Linked DNA regions of Xenopus tropicalis. The protein of the gene in region 2 interacts with the protein of the main gene of each other region in a pairwise test. Links are inferred from orthologs where the notes say so. Each region holds a gene or a part of one and is shown on either strand. Other genes may lie near its edges.

Region 1 (4,675 bases), on a different chromosome or scaffold from region 2:
CCATCTGAGGGCCCCATACAGGGCCCAGTCAGCTGCCAACTCAGTGTGTCTGCAGCTTTTATCAATCCCTGTATGGCTCCCTTAAATGTGAGCTTTTAATTTCCTGATTACATGGAACATCCTGTGACTATCTGCATGTGTCTGGTAATTACCCCTACGGGTACACTGAGCCGGCGTGATTGATTTATTATCTGTGGAGAGTTTTAAAATGCAATTCCTGTTGTTTTCCTGCAGGTGAATGGAACAGCCCTGTCTCATTCTAAGCCAAATGTTCAACTAAACATGGAAACACTGGAGTCAGAACTGACCTGTCCAATCTGCCTGGAGTTATTTGAGGACCCGCTGCTTCTCCCTTGTGCCCATAGCTTGTGCTTCAGCTGTGCCCACCGTATTCTCACTTCCGGATGTGCTTCCAACGAAATAGCGGAGCCAGTACCAGCTTTTCAGTGTCCGACTTGCAGATATGTTATATCTTTAAATCACCGCGGTCTGGAAGGTTTAAAACGCAACGTTACCTTGCAGAACATTATTGATCGCTTTCAGAAGGCTTCTTTAAGTGTTCCCAACTCTCCTAGTGACGATCACAGGGAAAAAATCTATAGGACTGTCCCCATTATGGCCTCCGAAAGGATCCCGTGCCAGTTCTGTGAGACAGAGCCACCAAGGGATGCCGTGAAAACATGTATCACCTGTGAGGTGTCCTACTGTGATCGGTGTTTGAGGGCAACTCACCCCAATAAAAAGCCCTTTACCAGCCACAGACTGGTGGAACCAATTCCAGACGGTCACTTTCGGGGCCTGGCTTGTCTAGAACATGAAAATGAGAAAGTCAATATGTACTGTACAGTAGACGATCAGCTTATCTGTGCCTTATGCAAACTGGTTGGTAGGCACAGAGAGCACCAGGTGGCTTCTTTAAGTGACAGATATGAAAAACTCAAGGTAAGAAACTGAGAGAGTATTTACTCAACACCAATAACTGTAAAATACTTCATATAAAGTTTATAACTCACTCTAGTGCTGGTTTTATTGCCCTATATCCTGCGAGCACCCCCAATAAATCCTAATACCGTGTGTTCCCATACCTATTACACTATCCTTGAGTTTCTTATTGTCACTTCTTATGTTGCCTGAGTATTTATTCCACATTGCTTGTCTCACAGGAGCCAAGGCTTTGCCATAACTCCTGTTTATTAATATGTGAAGACTCAGAATGAATTCATATCTCGATCAGTGCAATATAATGGGGTAATGAAATGCAGTCACAGCAGATACTGGGGTATTTATCAGAGATATGCCCATTCTTATTTTCTGTTCTGCATTTGTGTATTTTGATAAAGTCTAAATTGTTTGTATCTGCTTGAGTAACTGGAATTCCACCCAAACACAACTTAAAGTTTTTTGAAAAGTTAACATAATTTCAAGCAACTTTGCAAAATACATCAATTAAACAAATATGCAGCATTTTAATGTAATAATATGGTTTTGAACAGTTACCTAAGCCTGGCCGCTGTTCTCCTGCTGACCTGCCTGACTACTTTGAGACAGTAACAGTAGTCAGCTGTCCACTGCCTGCCTCAGCCAGCATTTTTCAAATCCTACAATTCCCCGCACACGTGATGTCAATAAAGAAAGGAGCATCACAGTTCAATGCATTGTTGTTCCTGCATACTGTCTTTAAGCTGTAGAGAAGTTGTTGCATTGTAACATCCGTGTTTTAGTCCCTCCTCCCCTGCCAGGATTTCAGATGATGCAGAAAGGGAAGAACAGTTTAAAAAAAAATGGTTTTATTCATACTGTTTGAAGGAACAGATTACAGTTATAGGTATATTAGGGGTTTCTATGTTGTATGGGGCACTTAAGCAAATTTTGGTTCGGAAACCAGAGTTCCACTTTCATTCTAATCAGAACAATACCCATATCCTATTGGCTCTGGTGACTGTAGCTTTGTGATCTAGTACTATTCTTATATTTTCTTCTATGATCTTTATCTGTTGTTGCTTAACACCTTAGAACCCAATCAAAAAAGTATTTCTTGACTTGTCACCAAGACACCTTGGTGACCATCCATTGTTATGCTCACTATATGCCAGACAACATTGCCTGCTATCTCGGCTATGCTCAGCTTATAACTAGCCCATGTGGGGTCGAAACAAAAGCCTGTCTGAACAATATGAGCCAGACATTTATTAGGCAGGTTTCAGTGGTGGACATGGTCTCCTGATCGGTCTCCATAGGCCTCAGCATTGTATTTTTTTGTTTGGCCAGGGTCCGAAAGGTCAGATGAACCCAATTATACAAACCATGTTTTGTTAATGCAGAGGAACCCAAAAGGGAGGGAGAAGGTTACATCCAGGAGGCGCAGTTGCAAAACCACTGAGTGGACCAAGAACGAAGCTTCCCCCCCCACACTGTGAACTGCACCGAGTGCTGGATAAAATCTGGCGCTCAGTAAAAAGCACAGCGTTAGGATGTAAAATGGAACACAGAGGCCCGTGGCAATTTGTGAATGCTGAAATTGTACAAAATGCAAAGAAATGGCCCATTGTGGCCCGCTCACTGTGTTTCCGTTCTCAAATGAGCCCTCATGTTTGCTGCTATTATTTATTTCATGAAGTTTGATGTTATTGTCTATTGTGTATACAGGAAAGCCAATTGTACCCCCTTGTCTTATATATTAGTGCTATTTCCTTTAGACCGTGGTAAGTGAACTGTCAAATAAGGTGACAGTGGAAACCATATTTATGATTGATACAAAGGATATTTTGCACCAGGACAACTTGTATTTACTGTAGCTATAGTTTCCAATAAATCCTGCATTTCAAGTTACATTTTTTCTCTCCTATTTATAAATATAGTTGGAGATCATAGACAGTGAGGAGACAAAGATGCCCCCAGTAGCTCCCCATCTTCTTTTCTGCTAATTCCTTGCACGTGCTCTGTGCTGCTGTCACTTACTGAGCTTAGGGACTGACTCACAATATTCTGTATATACACAATTATAAATGTCACAATATAAGGCTTATTAGCAATAAATACAGGTAATTACTACACGGAGGCTCTGTAACCAGTGCAATTTGCATCAGAATGCAATAGTCAGCCCTGTAGCATCAGCTTATATGACAGACAAACCTTATTTTCTGCTTGATAATTTGCAATGGTCCCTAAGTTTAGCTTCTCAACAGCTCCTCAGAACACACTGAGCATGTGCAGTGTCACTGACACTTTTAACAGAATCCAAAAATCCAAGACCTGAATCAAAGCTACTATTGAGATTCTGAAACTTTATGCTGGGGCAGTAAGTTCAGTATTTAATATAGCCATATTCATTTTTATGTTTTAGTATTTCCTTAGAAATAATCTCACAGCATTCATAGAGTTTGTTGACCCCTTACCCCTTATCCTCATGATAAAAGAAAGTAGTTACAGCAGTGATTATAGCAGTATATCTTGTCTAGACATTGGCTTTAATACATTGTAGAGATTTGTGTTTCTTTTCAGTACAGTGAAAAACTGTGGTCCTGTGGGAAGTGGCAACATGTTCCTGAATTCTGCACAAATACAAAATGATGCTCATAAGGAATCTCTTCCATCACAGTATTGTACAGATATGGGGTCCGTTATCTGGAAACACGGTATCCATAAAGTTCCAAATTATGGGATGGCCATCTCCCATAGACTACATCAAATAATTCACATGTATAAAAATTATTTCCTTTTTCCTCTGTAATAATAAAACTGTACCTTGTACTTGATCCCTACCGAGATATAAATAATCCTTATTGGAGGCAAAACAGTCCTTTTGGGTTTATTTAAAGTTTAAATTATTATTTTTTTTTTTAGTAAACATAAAGTATGGAGATCCAAATTACTGAAAACCCCCTATTGGGAAAATCCCAATACTTCTGGATAACAGTCCCTGTACCTGTACAGGTATAGGATCCTTTATCCAGATACCCATTATCCCAAAAGTTCTGAATTATCTCCTATAGACTCCATTATAAGCAAATAATTCTAATTTTTAAAAACGATTTCCTTTTTCTTTGTAATAATAAAACAGAACCTTGTACTTGATCCCAACTAAGATATAATTATTCCTTATTGGAAGCTAAACAATCCTGTTGGGTTTAAATGATTTTTTAGTAGACTTATGGTATGGAGATCCAAATTACGGAAAGATCTCTTATCCAGAAAGCCCCAGGTCCCGAGCATTCTGGATAACAGGTATTATACCTGTACTTGGATATTGATGTCACTAGCGCAAGCAGCCAATCGGACAATTAGAATGGGCACATCTGTTGTTGGAATGCCAGCTTTGACGGTGACAGATGTCTATAGAATGTGTGAGAAGTGCCTCTGTGAAATTCATACATACAGCTTGTATATACACTATGATCATGTCTCAGTTTACAATTCATCTCTCATTACCATTTATGATGCAATTAATCACGGCCTGCATTAACACGTTTTAGGTGGACTTGTGTTAATCTAAAACAGGTACAATGTGTCTCATTGTTGTTCCTTGTTTTCTCTGAGCTTGAGATTTTCAAAGATGCATTTCTGCTGTATGATCCATTCATATGTTATCCAGAACAGGTTGTTCAAGTTAATTTGCAGTTTATGTTTAGTTTCTTGATTCTCATACCGACCTTAGAACCCCTAGCAGTGGAAATCA
Region 2 (4,675 bases):
TTTTGTATTGAATATTGTCTCAGTTTCACTTCTCTCCTTTATCTCTATTTACTGTACTTCTCTTCTACTTAGCTACATCATAATCTTCTCTTCTGCCCTGATCAACTATTGAAATTCAGCTTCCCCATTATTTAAGTTTTTAACTGTAAAGGAGTGATTCACCTGTATATTAACTTTTAGTATAATGCAGGTAATGAAATTCTAAGAAAGTTTGCAATTGGTCTTTGTTCTTTATTTATTGTGATTTGTTAAATAATTAGCTTTTTGTTCACCAGCACCCTGGTTTAGAATTTTGGCAGCTATCTGGTTCTTAGGGTCCAATTTAACGTAAAGAATAACAATAAAGTTGTGGTCTCACAGATCAATAGTTATTTGCATGTTGAGGTTGGTAAACCCAGTTTGAAAGCTGAAAAGAGGTAGACGAGAAAGACAGATAATTCAAATAGTATAAAAAAATAAATAGGCCATTCTGTAGCATACTACAAGTTAACCTGCAGTTGAACCACCCTTTTGCACAAGTGTGCATGCATTATCACACTGAAAATATTCACTATGATAAAAAACAAACCACCCTAGTGATTACTAATGTAAATGTTTGAATGGAAGTGAAAGGCAGATTTTGATATTGTCTGAAGAACAGATTATGACTGAAGAACACATAGTAGCCAGTGTGTTTAAAAGCCTTGGCTGGAAGTACAGATCCAGTGTAAGAACAACTAGGAAATACTAGATCAACTTGATTTCTTTGAAGCCTTCTGCATGTTTTAGTTAGCCCATGGGAGATCTTTGCATTACAGTTTGTGAGTAGTGGGCCTGTCAGATACATCCCCTAGTGCTAAAAAGCTGAACTATGAGAAATGTCTTAAAGGGTTACTGTCATGATTTTTATGGTATACTTTTTATTTCTAAATTACATTGTATACATAGCAAATAATTCACTTTTTATTACTTGTAATATTGGCTTATAGGCAGCCATCTCAGTGCATTGTGCCTGAGCTTTCAGAAGGAGCCAGTGCTACACATTAGAGCTGCTTTCAGGTAACCTATTGTTTCTGGAGGAGTCCCAAGCCGGACTTGGATTTTTACTATTGAGTGCTATTCTGATATCTACTGGGAGCTGCTATCTTGTTACCCTCCCTTTGTTCTGCGTTTGCGTTTTTGAAAAGGGATTTCAATGCAGGATTCTGCTGGAGAAGCTCTATTAACTGATGTGTTTTGAAAAAAACATGTTTTCTCATGACAGTATTGCTTTAAGTTAAATTATTGCTAGTAAATAAAGGCTCCAAACAGATGGGTATGTGAATCATAGTATACTTCAAGGAATGATTTAACTGGTTGCCCATGGTGATGTGTTTTTTGTTCAGTCTACTTGTAAAACATCAGTCAGAAAAGAACTGGAAACTGCATGACAATACTATGTTTTGCAGGTTGTACCTTACGTGGGTACAATTTTTGGTGGCCTGGAACCAGGACAGATGGTTGTAGTACATGGGACTGTTCCTTCTGATGCAGATCGGTAAGCCATGATACTGTGCAAATGCCTTACAGTATTGGATATCAATTTCATATTTTAACACTTAATTCTACAGAAAAATGTAAATAAAAAAAGACTGTTAGGCAAGTGTCACACGATTTTGGACAGAAAATATTGTTTGAAGTTTGAAATCTGCCCCGTGTGTTCAATAAGCAATGGTTGTCATTAAAGGGCACATATAACCCGAAAAACGCTTCCCCACCAGAGGTGCTGGCTAATAGAGTCCTCACTCTGGTTGGGGGGAACCGTACCCTCCGGCGTTGGAAGTAAATAAGTAGCCAAAGTAAGTAAGTAGAAAAAAGTCAAGAGGAACAAATCCAAAGTTCAGCTCTCACAATCCTTTTTCTTTCCTATTGATCTAAAAAAAAACCCCAAATACTTCCATATAAAAGTATTACCAGTTCTGGCATAATAAGGTTAATAAATACAACAATAATCTTTCCCAATTTCCCTTTTAGCTTATGCAAAGTGAATTAGCACGCTTTCTATCATGATAATTCTAATGAAATCATTTCACTCTAATGCATATACTTGTGCTAACGGTAGTGTGTCTTTGTAGGTGTCACTCTGTTTAACTCTAAGCTCATATGTCTCTGAGTGTGTATGTTACACTGCCTCTGTGTAACTGTATATGCTAGACTGTTGCTATGTGTGCCACATCTGAGTGTTTCAGTGTCAGTGCTGCATTGGTTAATATTCTGCACAATCATTATGGCCAGTGGTCCCAACACACACAACATTAATTGCTGGCTGCTAAACAAAAGACTGCAGCTGCATGCAAGTGTGTTGTACAGCAGACTTACCACTTGTCGCTGTTGTACAGCAGACTTACCACTTGTGGCTGTTGTACAGCAGACTTACCACTTGTCGCTGTTGTACAGCAGACTTACCACTTGTGGCTGTTGTACAGCAGACTTACCACTTGTCGCTGTTGTACAGCAGACTTACCACTTGTCGCTGTTGTACAGCAGACTTACCACTTGTCGCTGTTGTACAGCAGACTTACCACTTGTCGCTGTTGTACAGCAGACTTACCACTTGTCGCTGTTGTACAGCAGACTTACCACTTGTGGCTGTTGTACAGCAGACTTACCACTTGTGGCTGTTGTACAGCAGACTTACCACTTGTGGCTGTTGTACAGCAGACTTACCACTTGTCGCTGTTGTACAGCAGACTTACCACTTGTGGCTGTTGTACAGCAGACTTACCACTTGTCGCTGTTGTACAGCAGACTTACCACTTGTCGCTGTTGTACAGCAGACTTACCACTTGTCGCTGTTGTACAGCAGACTTACCACTTGTCGCTGTTGTACAGCAGACTTACCACTTGTCGCTGTTGTACAGCAGACTTACCACTTGTGGCTGTTGTACAGCAGACTTACCACTTGTGGCTGTTGTACAGCAGACTTACCACTTGTGGCTGTTGTACAGCAGACTTACCACTTGTCACTGTTGGCCACAGAGCAGTGTCAGTGGGTTCTGACTAATATATGAGTAACTGTGCTAATATGAACAGCGTAAAAGCAGCATTAGGGGGCTGATAGGATGTAAAAAATGTTATGTTTTTGTTTTTTCTTTTACCCTGTTGGCTCTTTACCCCAGCACTAGCAACTTGGGAGAAGAATGAATGGAGTCCAGCTCTGGTATGTATAGAGAGCTGGTTGGTTGAGGACTGATTGCAAGTATAGTGCTGAGAATGTTTTTATAGTCATAGTGGTATATTTATTAAAAGTAAAACACGTCTATTAGTTTACTATAGGGATCCAGGATTCGGTTCGGGGTTCGGCCAAGATTCAGCCTTTTTTAGCAGGATTTGCCTGAATCCTTAAAATAATGTGACTTTTTGTCACAAAAACACAGGAGTAGGATTCAGCCAAATCTGAAAATAGTGGATTCGGTGAATCCTTAGTTTAATATCTGAAAAATGGCTTTTAGGATAATATAAATAAAATTACATGCTTTATTTATTTATTTTGAATATTAGATTTCAGATAGACTTCCAGTGTGGAAGCAGCATCCATCCTCGTTCTGATGTGGCTTTTCACTTCAACCCTCGCTTTAAAGGGTCCGGACACATTGTATGCAACACCCTACAAAATGAAAAATGGGGATGGGAGGAAAAAACATACCACTTGCCATTTACAAAGGGGCAACCATTTGAAGTTATATTTTTGGTTTTTCACCATAAATTTCAGGTGAGTTCAGATTTGTCTTACACAAATAATATGATAAATCTCTGTTCATTGATTCTAAGTATGTTCCTTTTTTAAGTGGTTTGAGTATAAACATAATTGATTCCTTATATTGTAAGATGGGAAGAATACAGGGGCAAGGAATAAGATCTCTATACGTGTGAGGACATTTTAAGGAAAATTATTTTTTTATTTGCAATTTTAACTCCTTTTCAGTTAACTTGACTCAAGGTGTGTGCTACTGCATTTATTATGTGCAAGCAAGTAGGAAAATTGGTGCTTGTATTCAGCCTATCAACAGGGGCACCATATTAGGTTCAATTACAAATGGAAGTGAAAAACCATGAAAAAACCATTCGCTCAGACTTGCTGGCGGAATAAATAACTAAAATTTTGTCATACAGTGATGTGGAATTGGTTGGCAATTTGTAAATGTGTGTCTAAGAAAAAATAATAATACTACTAAACACTGTTGCCATATACTGGGATTGCTTTGCTATTTTAGTGAGCAGGTGATAAGACTAGCACTAGCTACATTTCTCTAGTACTTATATTGTATTGTATTTTTTGTATAGGTGTCTTCAAATGGAAAAAACTTACTTGTCTATAAACACAGAATCGGTCTAGAAAAAGTTGATACGCTGGGTATATCTGGTAAAGTGAAGATTAATTCAATTGGATTTTTATCTCAACCAGTAAGTATGAATACATATATTTCCACCCATAGGAATGGGTTAATTGTGCCCATACCTGCATGTATTTGTGAAGCACATGTATGTAACTTATCCATTACCATTGTCCTTTGTCACCAGTATTCCCCCAAATAGCAGGTAATAAATGCAGTAGAAATAGAAAAATGCCCATGCAGTGGATGTAATGAGGTTTTACACCCTGTGTTTTAGCAACAGTGAGTGAATGCACATGGTTTCATGGTGGCTGATGCTTTCC
Region 3 (4,675 bases), on a different chromosome or scaffold from region 2:
ATGAACTAAATCCAGAATTCAGTTTGGGATTCAGCAGAATCACAGGACTTTTTGCAGGATGTGAATTTGGTTAAATATAGGGTGACCAGATCACTTGAAAATTTAGGGACAAGTCTATAAAATCCAGCCAGCACGGCTAAACTTATTGCAGGGCTAAACTATATGGAATTGTGCCGCATCAACAGAAAACAACCTACAAGTTGGATGTAGTTGCATGTGTCAAAATATAATGAGACTGAAAGAAAAATCTGATGTGTAAATTACCTAAAATCTTTGCCATCTGATGCGACATGCCTGTTGGATGGGAACGCATCTGCATCCAATAAGATAAAGTCTGAAAGACTTTTGTTACTCATTGAAATACACTGGCTGTCGCATTTAGATGCAGGAACAAAACTCACCATCTGACTTTATCTGAGCTGACTTACATTACAGCTGTGATGATCAAAATCTGATAAAAATTTCCTGTGTGCCCATACCGTTCTGCGACTTTTAAGCAATGGACATTGTAGTCAGTAAATTTATGTTCACAGGTTATGTAATGTTTAATTTTACTTTTATATATAGGGTTTAAATTTAGTTTTGTATTGGTCAAAATCATTAGCTGATTATTTAGTCATTATTTAGTCATATTTAGTCATTATCCTTACCATCCTCATACACCTTTCCATGCTTATCCAGCGCTGTCAGGTTAATGCTTTTCACCTTGCGATTCCGTTCCCAAATCTGGAGAAAAATAACTGTATTTATTATCTTGTACTCACCTGTTTTTTTCATTCATTTTTTTCATTCTGTAATATTGTGTGGCAGATCTAGTGAGTATATATCAGCCCATGGGCCCTAAATTTTATGGAATTTCATGGGGACACCTCCCTTAATGACCAGTAGCTGCTCCACCCTACAGATATTGTGCACTGTTTGTTACCAGGTGAAGAAAGCAGGAGGCTCCAGTTTTGTGTAATTAACCTTTTGGCCAGCAAAAGTGCTTCTAGGAGGAAAAAAGTTTCATACTGGTTCAGGTTTAAGTCCTGCAGTAACGTACAAAACGTGGGCATTCCAGGTATATTGGTCTGAAGGACTGTGTCTAAAGCTGGCCATACACAGTAAGATCCGCTCGCTTGGCGCCCTCTTCTCCCGATATCCCCACCTAAGGATGGGCGATACTGAGCTAATTTGGTCTAGTTAAAACAGCGGGTATAGGGCCCGTCGGTTCAGGGACTGCATCAACGAATCAATGTGGTCCCCGATCTGATGGAAAAATCAAACCTGCCTGATAGAGATCTGGCGGATTTCAAGTCTAATGTTGGTCAGGGAGGCCTGTCGTTTGTTCCCGTACACCAGCACATAAGCTGCCAAATTGGTCTTAAGGACCGACATCAGCAGCTAGAATTGGTTGTGTATGGCCCCCTTAAGGGATCAATTATTTTCATCCAATATGAGGTTATCCGAGCATAACTCCATATCATATGTATGAAAGTCCCACTTGTACACTGCGGGTGCATAAATCGCAATATCAGGGTTAATATGGTGTAGCCTTACCGGGATATGATACGCCCTGTCAAAAGTGTATATTTGGATTAAACATAGCCTGTAATTGGGCAATACCAGTTGAGAGGCTTCCTAAACTTATTGCCACTCCTCATCCAGGACAGTGCCCACATCAGTTTTCCGTTTACAGCAGAGGTACTCTGTACTCCCTAGATTAATGAGCTGGTGATGGAGCCCTATGAATTTCTCTCTTACCTCTAGGAACTGAGTGTCCTCCCCTTTGATGTTTTTAGTTTCCCGCAAGACAGCTTTCAGGGTTCCAGAAGGGGACTCCTTGCTGAGAAGTCTGGTGAAATAGGCAGAGTGAGTCTTTAGGAAGATATCTCCAAAAACAAGCATACCCGACCTACCCTTAACATGATCCCTACAAACACCTCTTCAATGCAGGTATTAATTGCATACATGTACCCTGTAGTTCAAGCTTCCGTCCAATGACGTGTAGTTCATAAGAGTAGGATGTACTTGCTGTAAGGTGTTGAAAAGCATGTATAAAAACAAGTATGTTTTTACTTTACTCTAAACAAGCATTTAGAGATGTACATTTCTGCACTTTCAACTTCCATACGTTAATGAGCCCTAACATGCTGCAACACTTTCAGAAATGTTCCCAAACAAAGCCATATTTGTCCCTTATGCCCACAGATCCCCTTTAACTTCAGGCATTCCTCCAATCCAGAGGTCTACTTACTCGCCCTTAATTTCACTTCCATTTCCACAAGCCCCAGAATATACAACAGTATTATTGTCATGAAAAACAATGTACTGTCGGCAAAACTTCACTTGTTCGCTACGATCCAGATCTCTCTGTGACCATTCTGAGAAAGAAAACAGCAACAGAATTACAATAGGAATAGTCATCTCAGACCAAAGCAGCACAGCCAAGACCTGTTATAGTATATCTATATATAAAGTGCCATGCAAAACTATTCAGACGCTTAACCAATTCTCACATTTTACAGAGAAATCTGAAAAGTACTTATCAAGATCCAAGCTGTGACTGGGCCACTACACATCCTGTGCATTTTTATTCTAGAATCACACCATTTTTATTTCACCTTGTGTTTGGGATCATAGTCCTGCTGACTTTGGCCCATGCATCAGTTCTTTTGCAGTACATGTATTACCCTGTCTTGATGCCCAAACCCTGAAAATAGTTAACCTGTACCTACAGTAAAGTATGATGGTGGTGCTGGTTTAGAGCAGTTGAAAAGTCTGTACTTCTGTTTGCAAATACCGTACCATATACTAATCTATTTGCTTACCTGTGTAGATATTGCTGTATTTTCCCCCATACTGTGTGGTGACTTCAGGGCCTATAGACACACTAGACAGAGATGGAAACTGACTGAATTCCCGGTACAAGGCAGCAATATCCTTTGGTTTTCTGAGAATCTGAGAACAAATAGGCAGTTAGAGAATATTAGTAATAAAGAGCTAATTAAATATTGCATGGAGGCAATAGCTAGGGCTCATTGTTCTAGTTAACTGAGCATCAAATAAGAAGAATTCACAACTTAATTTTCTAACTACAACATCAAGATTAGACTTCAACGAACATTTTAAATACAGAAATACATTTCAGATTACCTGTATCAAGCCCCGAACAAAAACAAACTGCCTTCCATATACTAAGTCATGGTGCATGCAGATAAAAATGTATTATTCTTATGCAGATCTCTGTACACAAACCCAAAGCAATACATTTTAGTTGTATTATTATTATTATGCATTAGAGCATATTGGATGTCAAATGAACAGAAAGCATGTCTGGGAGAGTTAATGCTTATTGTTTAAAGACCCAAAAGGGAATGTAATTGACGTTAAAAATATACATAAAGGTACCTGAGACACAAGGTCGTACGGTGGTGGGGCAGGGTACACATGGTGGTGGACAAAGGTCTGCCAATTCAGAGCCCAGCGTTTAACACAAAGGGCAACACTTCGCCGAATTACCTATTAAAGTACATATCACAGCTGCAACTGTAGCACATCAATAGAGCTTCCCCTACGACTACACTTAAAGCATTATCCAATTTCACGTGTTTCAGTTGACACCACCATGACTGAAGGTATTACAGCAAAAACTTTAGCATCTAGAATGGTTTTTAGGGAATCTAATAAGTTTTGGTGAGGCGGGCTAACATTTAGCTACCAAAGTGGTGGGCTTAATAGGCCTGATCCAATAAATTAGCCCTCCAGCCACTGATCTACTCCTATTTAGACTTGAAAGAAGACCACATCTGGGTTCAATGGTCCATTCATTCTGATCAATATCTGAATTGTCTTTAAGGAGATAAAAGGTAAAAACTAAGTAAGCTTTATCAGAAAGGTCTATGTAAATTTACCCAATAGCACTCACAGAAACGCTGCACTATCCTTTATCAAAAGAAACACAGGATTTCTAGTCTTCTTTCTTTGTTAACATGGTGTTAGGGTATCTGACTTTCTCAGAAAATCATTCATTCCTGTATCTGCAGCAGTTCTCTCCTCTCTCCCATAAGAATTCATAGAACTCACTCCCCCCACACTTAGGAATGTGTAATCTGAGCTAGAGCTGGGCGGTATGACCAAAAATTTATATCACGGTATTTTTCAAAATTATATCGGTATCACGGTATTTGACGGTATATAAATAAAAAAATAAATAATAAATATTGGTGCCCCCCCCCCCAACAAGCCCAGCCCCCCCCCAACACCAATAGTAAGAAATCCAAGTCTGGCTTGGGACTCCTCCAGTTACATGGGAGTAGGAGAAACAATAGGTTAGCTGAAAGTAGTTCTAATGTGTAGCGCTGGCTCCTTCTGAAAGCTCAGACTCAGGCACAATGCACTGAGATGGCGCCTACACACCAATATTACATTTGTTGGTTCAAGAATAAGATTCTAAATAGCAGAGTGAATTATTTGCTATGTAAACAGTGTAATTTAGAAATAAAAAGTACCCCATAAAACTCATGACAGAATCCCTTTAATTTCTTAGTTATAGATTTGATTGAGAACTGCTAAAAACATTTTTAATCGAGGTCCAGTCATATAATGCTAGTATTTATATTTATTCTGTTGGGATTTAAAAGCAATTATGTATGTATTACACATGCTCACTGCTCACTGCTTCGAAGCAATGCAT

The links. The genes of interacting proteins can lie anywhere in the genome.
Region 1: the proteins of lgals8 (region 2) and mid2 interact in binary tests that used the Homo sapiens proteins (3 or more experiments, as listed by UniProt). The two-hybrid records come from large-scale screens. The link is inferred for Xenopus tropicalis from reciprocal best matches to the Homo sapiens genes LGALS8 and MID2.
Region 3: the proteins of lgals8 (region 2) and apeh interact in binary tests that used the Homo sapiens proteins (3 or more experiments, as listed by UniProt). The two-hybrid records come from large-scale screens. The link is inferred for Xenopus tropicalis from reciprocal best matches to the Homo sapiens genes LGALS8 and APEH.

What each region holds. Positions count from the first base shown.
Region 1 is NC_030684.2:40,395,819-40,400,493, reverse strand, and holds part of mid2 (probable E3 ubiquitin-protein ligase MID2), read left to right. Parts: intron 1-234; 5' UTR 235-282; coding exon 283-942; intron 943-4,675. UniProt on the Homo sapiens protein: E3 ubiquitin ligase that plays a role in microtubule stabilization. Mediates the 'Lys-48'-linked polyubiquitination of LRRK2 to drive its localization to microtubules and its proteasomal degradation in neurons.
Region 2 is NC_030681.2:41,513,352-41,518,026, reverse strand, and holds part of lgals8 (galectin-8), read left to right. Parts: intron 1-1,427; coding exon 1,428-1,516; intron 1,517-3,519; coding exon 3,520-3,730; intron 3,731-4,302; coding exon 4,303-4,422; intron 4,423-4,675.
Region 3 is NC_030680.2:125,911,533-125,916,207, reverse strand, and holds part of apeh (acylamino-acid-releasing enzyme), read right to left. Parts: intron 2,941-4,675; coding exon 2,811-2,940; intron 2,364-2,810; coding exon 2,237-2,363; intron 1,835-2,236; coding exon 1,744-1,834; intron 727-1,743; coding exon 651-726; intron 1-650. UniProt on the Homo sapiens protein: This enzyme catalyzes the hydrolysis of the N-terminal peptide bond of an N-acetylated peptide to generate an N-acetylated amino acid and a peptide with a free N-terminus. It preferentially cleaves off Ac-Ala, Ac-Met and Ac-Ser.